Linked DNA regions of Bombyx mori. The protein of the gene in region 1 interacts with the protein of each later gene in a pairwise test. Links are inferred from orthologs where the notes say so. Each region holds a gene or a part of one and is shown on either strand. Other genes may lie near its edges.

What was found.
Region 2: the proteins of mediator of RNA polymerase II transcription subunit 8 (region 1) and multifunctional methyltransferase subunit TRM112-like protein interact in binary tests that used the Drosophila melanogaster proteins (3 or more experiments, as listed by UniProt). The link is inferred for Bombyx mori from reciprocal best matches to the Drosophila melanogaster genes MED8 and Trmt112.

The regions. Positions count from the first base shown.
Region 1 is NC_085118.1:10,645,948-10,650,346, reverse strand, and holds the start of mediator of RNA polymerase II transcription subunit 8, read left to right. Parts: upstream 1-1,290; 5' UTR 1,291-1,991; coding exon 1,992-2,165; intron 2,166-2,469; coding exon 2,470-2,715; intron 2,716-3,302; coding exon 3,303-3,399; intron 3,400-4,399. Other genes in the region: uncharacterized protein LOC134199859, read right to left, coding at 1-978. UniProt on the Drosophila melanogaster protein: Component of the Mediator complex, a coactivator involved in the regulated transcription of nearly all RNA polymerase II-dependent genes.
Region 2 is NC_085117.1:12,729,272-12,732,318, reverse strand, and holds multifunctional methyltransferase subunit TRM112-like protein, read left to right. Parts: upstream 1-1,439; 5' UTR 1,440-1,625; coding exon 1,626-2,003; 3' UTR 2,004-2,368; downstream 2,369-3,047. Other genes in the region: DIS3-like exonuclease 2, read right to left, coding at 1-286.

The DNA.
Region 1 (4,399 bases):
AGGCGTGGCAACGGTAGGCTGGGCGACAGCGACAGGCACAGCGGTGGCGGGCACGACGGCCGCGGCGGAGTTTGGAAAGCGCGCGCGCGGCGCCGGGGCACTCGCACGAGCGGCGCACGGTTCAGGCCGACTCGCAGCCTGGGCCGGCTGGGCACGGATCGAACGCACACCACTAGTGGACGACACTGGTCTCGATTGAGTCTCCTCTATCGAATCTTCTATATTCCGAGCATGGTTTAATAATGAATTGAAAGATGTGATTTCTTCACGGCGCAATCTTGTGCGTATTCTATTATGAAGCAACCCGTATATCATATCAAGTTGTACTTTTTCAGCAATATCATCCCGCGGTAGCTTTGCCATAAGCGCACGAATACGAGCAACAAACTTGTCTGTGTTTTCTTTATCCTGCGGGGAAACAAATATTTCCAAATATATTCTATGTGGTGGAAGGCGGGTGCCATATGCATATATTAAATTTTCTTTGGCTTCGTTCCAAGTGGAGATGTGATGCTTTAATCCTAGCCACCACGTAGCTGCGTCAGCAGACAAAAGCATGGCTAGGCCTCGTATGATGTTAGCGTCAGATACTTGAACGCATTCTGTATAACTTTCAATTGCATCTATAAAGGCCTCAACAGATTCACCAGGTGCACCGCTGAAAGAAGCTCTGCAACGCGCCAAGGTACCATCTACGTTCACTGGGGGCATCGGCGGAGGTGCCGGAGTCGACGATCTTTGTTCCATCACGTACGACATAATGTTCTTAAATGTTTCGGCCTGCGAACGTTGCAGCGAGGCCATCAACGCTGAAACATCATCCAAGTTGAACGTAGAATTGTTGCTACGTGATTCGGCGTGGGGGCGATCATGGGGGCTATCATGCTCCTCGTGATTTTCGTTGGCATTTGCATCTGCAGCAGGAATAACGTCGTCTTCGCGACGTTGCTGGCGATCTTGACTTCTAGTTAAAGGCATTCTTTACAATTAAGCACCAACAGCATACAATAGTTAGCAAATTTTTCACAAAAGCGTGCGCGCCATTTTGTTAGTCCAAGCAAGAAAAAAATTAGGAAACGTTGGGCAGCCAGATATAGTGAGGGGTAGATCTCAGGGGTATTTAAAACTATGGGTTAGTCACCAATATCGAATTTCGAATTTTAATCTTCCTTTATAACAAACAATTTTCAATTTTTAAACAATAATTACATTTAGACGCGGGCGCACGCTATTCACACTCAAAACGGAAGCGCCCGGAACATAGATTATACACTGTTACAAGATTGACATAGATACTAACTATGTATAGCGAGCGGGCATACGGCCGCGAGAGTGACGTACCGGTCGGTTTGCTACATATTTAATATTTGTTCAGAGTGGGGGTATTCATCTGATTAATCCATGGAATAACCGACACACCTAATCTCTTAATCCAGATAGAAATATCAGCACTGTCGATTGCACCTATAATTGAGGTGATGTCTGCCATGTACTTTTGTCAGTTTTTCAATTTTTTTTATTGATGATCACTTTGTTGGTGCAACTAAATAAATAAATAAATTAAAACTATATATAAAAATAAAAGTAGTGCCAACCCTAGCAAATTTCTCGTTTCGTCCCAATTAACCGCAATTTTCGGGTAAATAGGGATTACACCTATTTTTGCATTTTTTGCTTAAACTGGAATGCTAGTTGCATAATTTTAAATTAGACAACAAAGATGCCCCCAAGACTCAATCATTTTGATCCTGATTTAGCATTATATACATCAACAACTACCTTAAAATTGCTCATAAAGTTGGAATTTGTCCCTAATCGCCCCATTTTACGGTACGGTAGGTACCGTATGGTACCATTTTGAGATATATTACTTATGTACCCTTAGTCCCTTACGGTTATTTAATAGCTAGGTAAGGTACGGTACCTAAACCTTATTAAAATCTAACAAAGAGAATTAAAAAGTTACAATTGTGTACCTACCATTTACAACAATGAATATGCAGCAGCGAGAAGAAAAGCAACTAGAAGCTACAATAGTTGCGATTTTAAATAGAGTAAATGATTTAAAAACTGCAATACAAGCATTGATAAATAAACTAGAAACGGAATACGAGACAATAAATTGGCCAACTTTTCTAGATAATTACGCGATTTTATCTGGTCACGTAAGTCCAATTGTATATTGAAATTCATAGCATAAATAGTGTGTGTAATAGTCAACAAGTCTACAGAGATGGATTTCAACTTGAAGTAGGAAAGATAATTAATTTATTATTGAAAAAACAGTGAAACAAAAACTGACGAGTTCAAAACTCACTTGATGTAACCTGGTTAGCGTGGTCACTGATATTTATTAGGTATTATCCCATTTTGAGACTTGTTTTCAGATTTAAGTGCATTTGTACATAAGCTTTTCACTTTAAAGATCATGTGTTATTTAGTTAAATTTTATTAACTCTTTATTTTCAGCTGACTGGCCTCAGTAAAATTCTCCAAGCCGAACAAGCAGCTTCATTGCGGTCTAGAATTGTTTTACCACTTCAATTAAGTTGCGAACGTGATGAAACACTGGCTCATTTGACAGAAGGCAGAGTTCCAGCTTGCACTCATGATTTAGTTCCAGATTTACTTCGTACCAAACCTGAACCCCAGGCTGAACAGCGTCTCCAGCAATTTAATCATAAAGCTAGTACTTTAAGCTATGATACAGCACAGGTATAGACAATAATTAACATTTAATTTTAAATATCAGAAACATTTAAAGAAGCATAAGGTTTAATGTACCACAAGGAAAAATATCCATTATAACTATTTGGGCTAATTTTTTATGACATTCTTTGTAGACTTCGCAATCTAAATTAGTTTTCATTGTAAACGGTAAAAAAATAGATATATTTGGGGTTAAAACATGTAATGCACTGTTGAGTGAATAAACCCACAGCTCACTTGAGATATAGTGGCTGGGACCCATAGATATCACAGAGTTAAATCAACCTCTTGCTTTGAGATATTTGGTTGAAGTATGTATCAATTCTTTCTTTTTTTTGTTGTATCACTTGTCAGGGTGGTCATGGTCATCATTCAGTATCATTGCAATCATATCATCATTGAATTCTATTAAACTATGTATAATAAGTTCTTTTATATAATCAAGATTTGTCTGCAAAATTAGCATGATAATCAAGTTGAGTACTTAAGACATGCAATTATAACAAGCTCACTTTCTCATGTAATGTTGTGTAGTTGTTACCTACAATTATATAGATGGATGATGTATGGATTATAATAGTTTTATATTCCAGAAACACATTGCTCAATTCACTAAAGTTGTCAGTCACGTTTGGGAAATTATATCCAAAGGCCGCGAAGACTGGGAAGGAGAGTCAATGAGATCTACAGGTTAGTAAAAGTTACAATAGAAAATTATCATAATTACCTAAACAGTTGACAGATTTTAATAAACATTTCATTCATATTATGTAGTCCATTTTTAACTTCTAGAGGTTGAAAAAAGATGCGGGTCACTGTAGTGAAAAACAATTTGTCTTCAATAAAATTTAGACACACATGCTTATCTTATTTCACCTGACCCAAAACACATGCCCGAAGTCTCAGTTGTATGGCAGGCAGGCATCTTATAATTCAAACTGGCATGCCTGTTTTCTTCATAACAAAAATACTTATACACGTCAGTGACTCAGGATACACTCAGCTACTCACAGTTCTAGACCCCAGTCATTGGTGAATATCTACAGAAAAGACAGGTGGGATTATTCTGACCATTGTACACATATCCTAAGTTATTAGTTCATATAAGGTAGGTATGACTTTACTTTGACAAAGATGAAAGATGCCCACCAGAGATGCCCAAGATTTTGCCCACCACTTAAACAAGTATGATGATAATGCAATTTCACAATACAAGCAGTGCGATTATGGAATTCTCTCCCTCAACCTATTTGTGCTAGTTCCTCTCTAGAAGTTTCTAAGAGTCAAATGAAGAAACATTTCCTGTCACTTTAAAAAAGTGTATTTAAGTTATTGTTTTATGTATGTTTATATGTATTTTTCATTTCATATTAGTTTTTTTTTAAAGCTTAGTTTAAAAATCATGCTTTAATAGATTTTGTATTGTACACTATTCCCCTCTTTATACATTGTATTTCTCTCTGCTAATGGTTTGCTGGAAGAAAACTCATGAATGAGTTAAGCTCGCCTTTGTGCATAGTATTTAGACATTCTTTAAATCTGTTTTTATTGTATTTTCTTTTTGTGTACAATAAGTATAAATAAATAAAATAAATAAATAAGTATGATGATAAGTTTTTTCATTGAAAAATGTGTACTGACTTAGGAGAACTGAATCACACCATAGTAGAACAGCTAGAGACAGTTAACT
Region 2 (3,047 bases), on another chromosome or scaffold:
TTACCTGTTCTGTCTCCCCGTTATCACTGTCGCTTTCAATTTGCAAATTCTGGCACTTATTGGAAACATCGTTAATTGATGAATTGTTGAATACCATGGTAGGTACTGTAACTTCTGATCTTTGTTTTTTTTTTGATTTTTTGGGTGTTCGTTTAGGTGAATCGACTTTGTTTTCATTTATTGCTTTGTCACTTGATGTTTTTTGTGGTACTGACGACGTGGAGACCACCGATGTTGTTGGTTCACTGCATGCTGCATCCATTCTTAATGAGTTATGGCTTGACATGGCGCAAAAAAATAAAAACTGTAAAATACTTATAAGCAGGTATGGAGTATTACAAGCCTGCTGCTTTTGTCTATAAATGTGAATGATTACATTTCTCCTCAATATTTACAATAATTTTACACAGAATTATACTCAATTTAATATTTTTAAATATTTATGTACGGCCAACGGCTACAAGACCTTATATCCATTCTAATTTAAAAAATGTAAATATATTTTTTTTCAACAATTTAATATAAATGCTTATCCCTTCCGAATGCAAAGAAAGGTCAAGCTAGTAAATTGACCGTCAGACAGAGCCCACTGAGTTTCTCGCCAGTTCTTTTCAGAGAATCTCGATTCTGGTCCAGTGGTAGATTCAGAGAAGCACCGCTCTAACTAAAGCTAGTGCTAGTAAGTTCTCCATGCTGAGCCTACACGTTCGGTGAACCTGGCTTATCGCCTCGAGGCGCAAAAATTTTGTACCAGTTTTCGAAAAGTAGTAACAATAATAGACTAATAGATTACATTGAAGAGACTCGGGCAAATTACTATTAATCCATTATTTATTTTATTACTTTCTTATTATACTCTGCGCGAGTATCACCTCGAGCTACGACTGAAAAGGTGAACAAGTTACAACTTTTTCGCGGGAACGCGAGGAGTGAAGTTGTGTGATTTGTTTTATTTTGTCTATTTAGTGTTTCTTCAGATTGAAATGCATAATAACGGTGGTTTATTAACTGTTTAGTATCTTTGAAAGTGCACAAATGTGGGAAAATAAAATAAAGCCGCTGGACGTAACTTATCGGGATCATCCAAAACGTCCATTGAAAAAATCTCAGTAAACGACCAACATTTTACTGAGATTATATTTCATCTCATCTCATTTCATTTGATTTCATCCCAGTTGATTAATGTCTCAAATTCTTCATTTCACTCCATATCATCATTTTTCATAAAAATACCCATATCATAATTATCATCTCATCTCATTTCAATTCATTTCATGCCATGCCATTAAATTAATCAGCTTCATTTCATTTCATAATATATTTCATAAAAAAAAAAAAATCTATAACAGACTAGGCTGTATGGTGTGATACCTTTGCCTTTCCATTTGGAAAAATAAAACTACCACTACTTACTGCTGTCAGGTCACTACTCACTACACAACTGAACAAAAACTAAACATAACCTCAAATATCTAATTATGCACGTAAAGTACATAATAACAAATATGTTTTAAGAAAATTCTACAAAAAAGTGCCAATAATCTTAATCGCTTGGTTCTACTCGTGAAAAGCTATTATTGTCAAGACTTCAATTCCTACTGAAGTTGCATAATACAAATATAATAATGAAACTAATTACCCACAATATGCTCACTTCGAAATGCTTGAAAGGTGTTGTGACTGGCTATCCTCTTGCAATTAACGCGACAGACATTAAAGTTAAAGAAGTCGATTTTAATCCTGAATTTATTAGTCGTGTAATACCAAAGCTGGATTGGGAAGTATTATGGGTGGCCGCTGATAGCATCGGCCACAGTGATGGTCTGCCAAGATCTTTAGAAAATAAGTATGATGAAAACGAAGAGTTTTTGAAGAAAGCTCATAAAGTCTTGTTAGAGGTGGAAGTTGAAGAGGGACACTTGACTTGTCCAGAATCTGGAAGACAATTTCCGATTTCTAAAGGAATTCCTAATATGCTATTAAATGAAGCTGAAGTGCAGTAGTTCACAATTTAGAGCCTGTACTAAAAATATTAGTAACAAATTTTTTATTTAAGCATTAATTTTATTGCAGTAACATTACATAGGATTGTTTTATTTTTTATGTAAAGAAGTGCTATGGTGCATGTAAATTTGTTTCATATTAAATATTTTAAGAAATGTACCATTACTTTATAATTTCTACAATATAATTTACTGTGAAAGATTTTTATGTAATCCTTGTATACTAAATTTTAAGTTGCTTAATAGGTAAAATCAGTATGAGGCTGCTTCAGGATTCTTGATAAATATTTGGGGAAAACTTTCTTACGCATATGTTGTATACTAAAAGTATCCTTTCAATAAAGAAAATATTGTTTTTCAATTTATATAATAACTTAACTGAATTATTGAAATGAGGTTATGTACTGTAAACGTGATAACATGTACAAAGCACTGAGGGCACCTTACTTAGAAAATACCAGTGTTCACAGTAGAAAAATGGTGACAATTTCTGACATTATATATTTCCCTATGATACGGTGATTGTATACTGTCAGTCAACGGAACGAATTTCGCCCCAGTAAGAGGACTGAACAGTCCTCGCAGTGTATATTGGAATATAGCCTTTACTGCACACTTTACTCTATTTAAAGCTGCTATATTAATTCAATTACCACTACCTGTACTAATACTATTTTAGTGAGCTTCAAACAATAACCTGCTGTATACAGGCGGACACTTTTTCAACTTGTACCTTAAACAAGATGGTACTTCTTAGTTGTATCCTCAAGGACGTTAATACTGATAACTTCATACTAGTTTAAAAGCTAGGACACTATTGTAAGTAATTGAGACTTCGACCTGTAATAGTATAATTACATCTTTTATGGCTGTAATGGCTTTTAAATTAAATTATAAATGATAAGAATTATAGATTTGAAGCCAATCACATGACTGCTATAATCTACAAAATATAACTAAAATTAGTACATGAAAAGAAAGCTGTTACTCTAAACTCTGAGTATAATTACAGTGCGTTTGCATTATATACACTACCACTCAAAA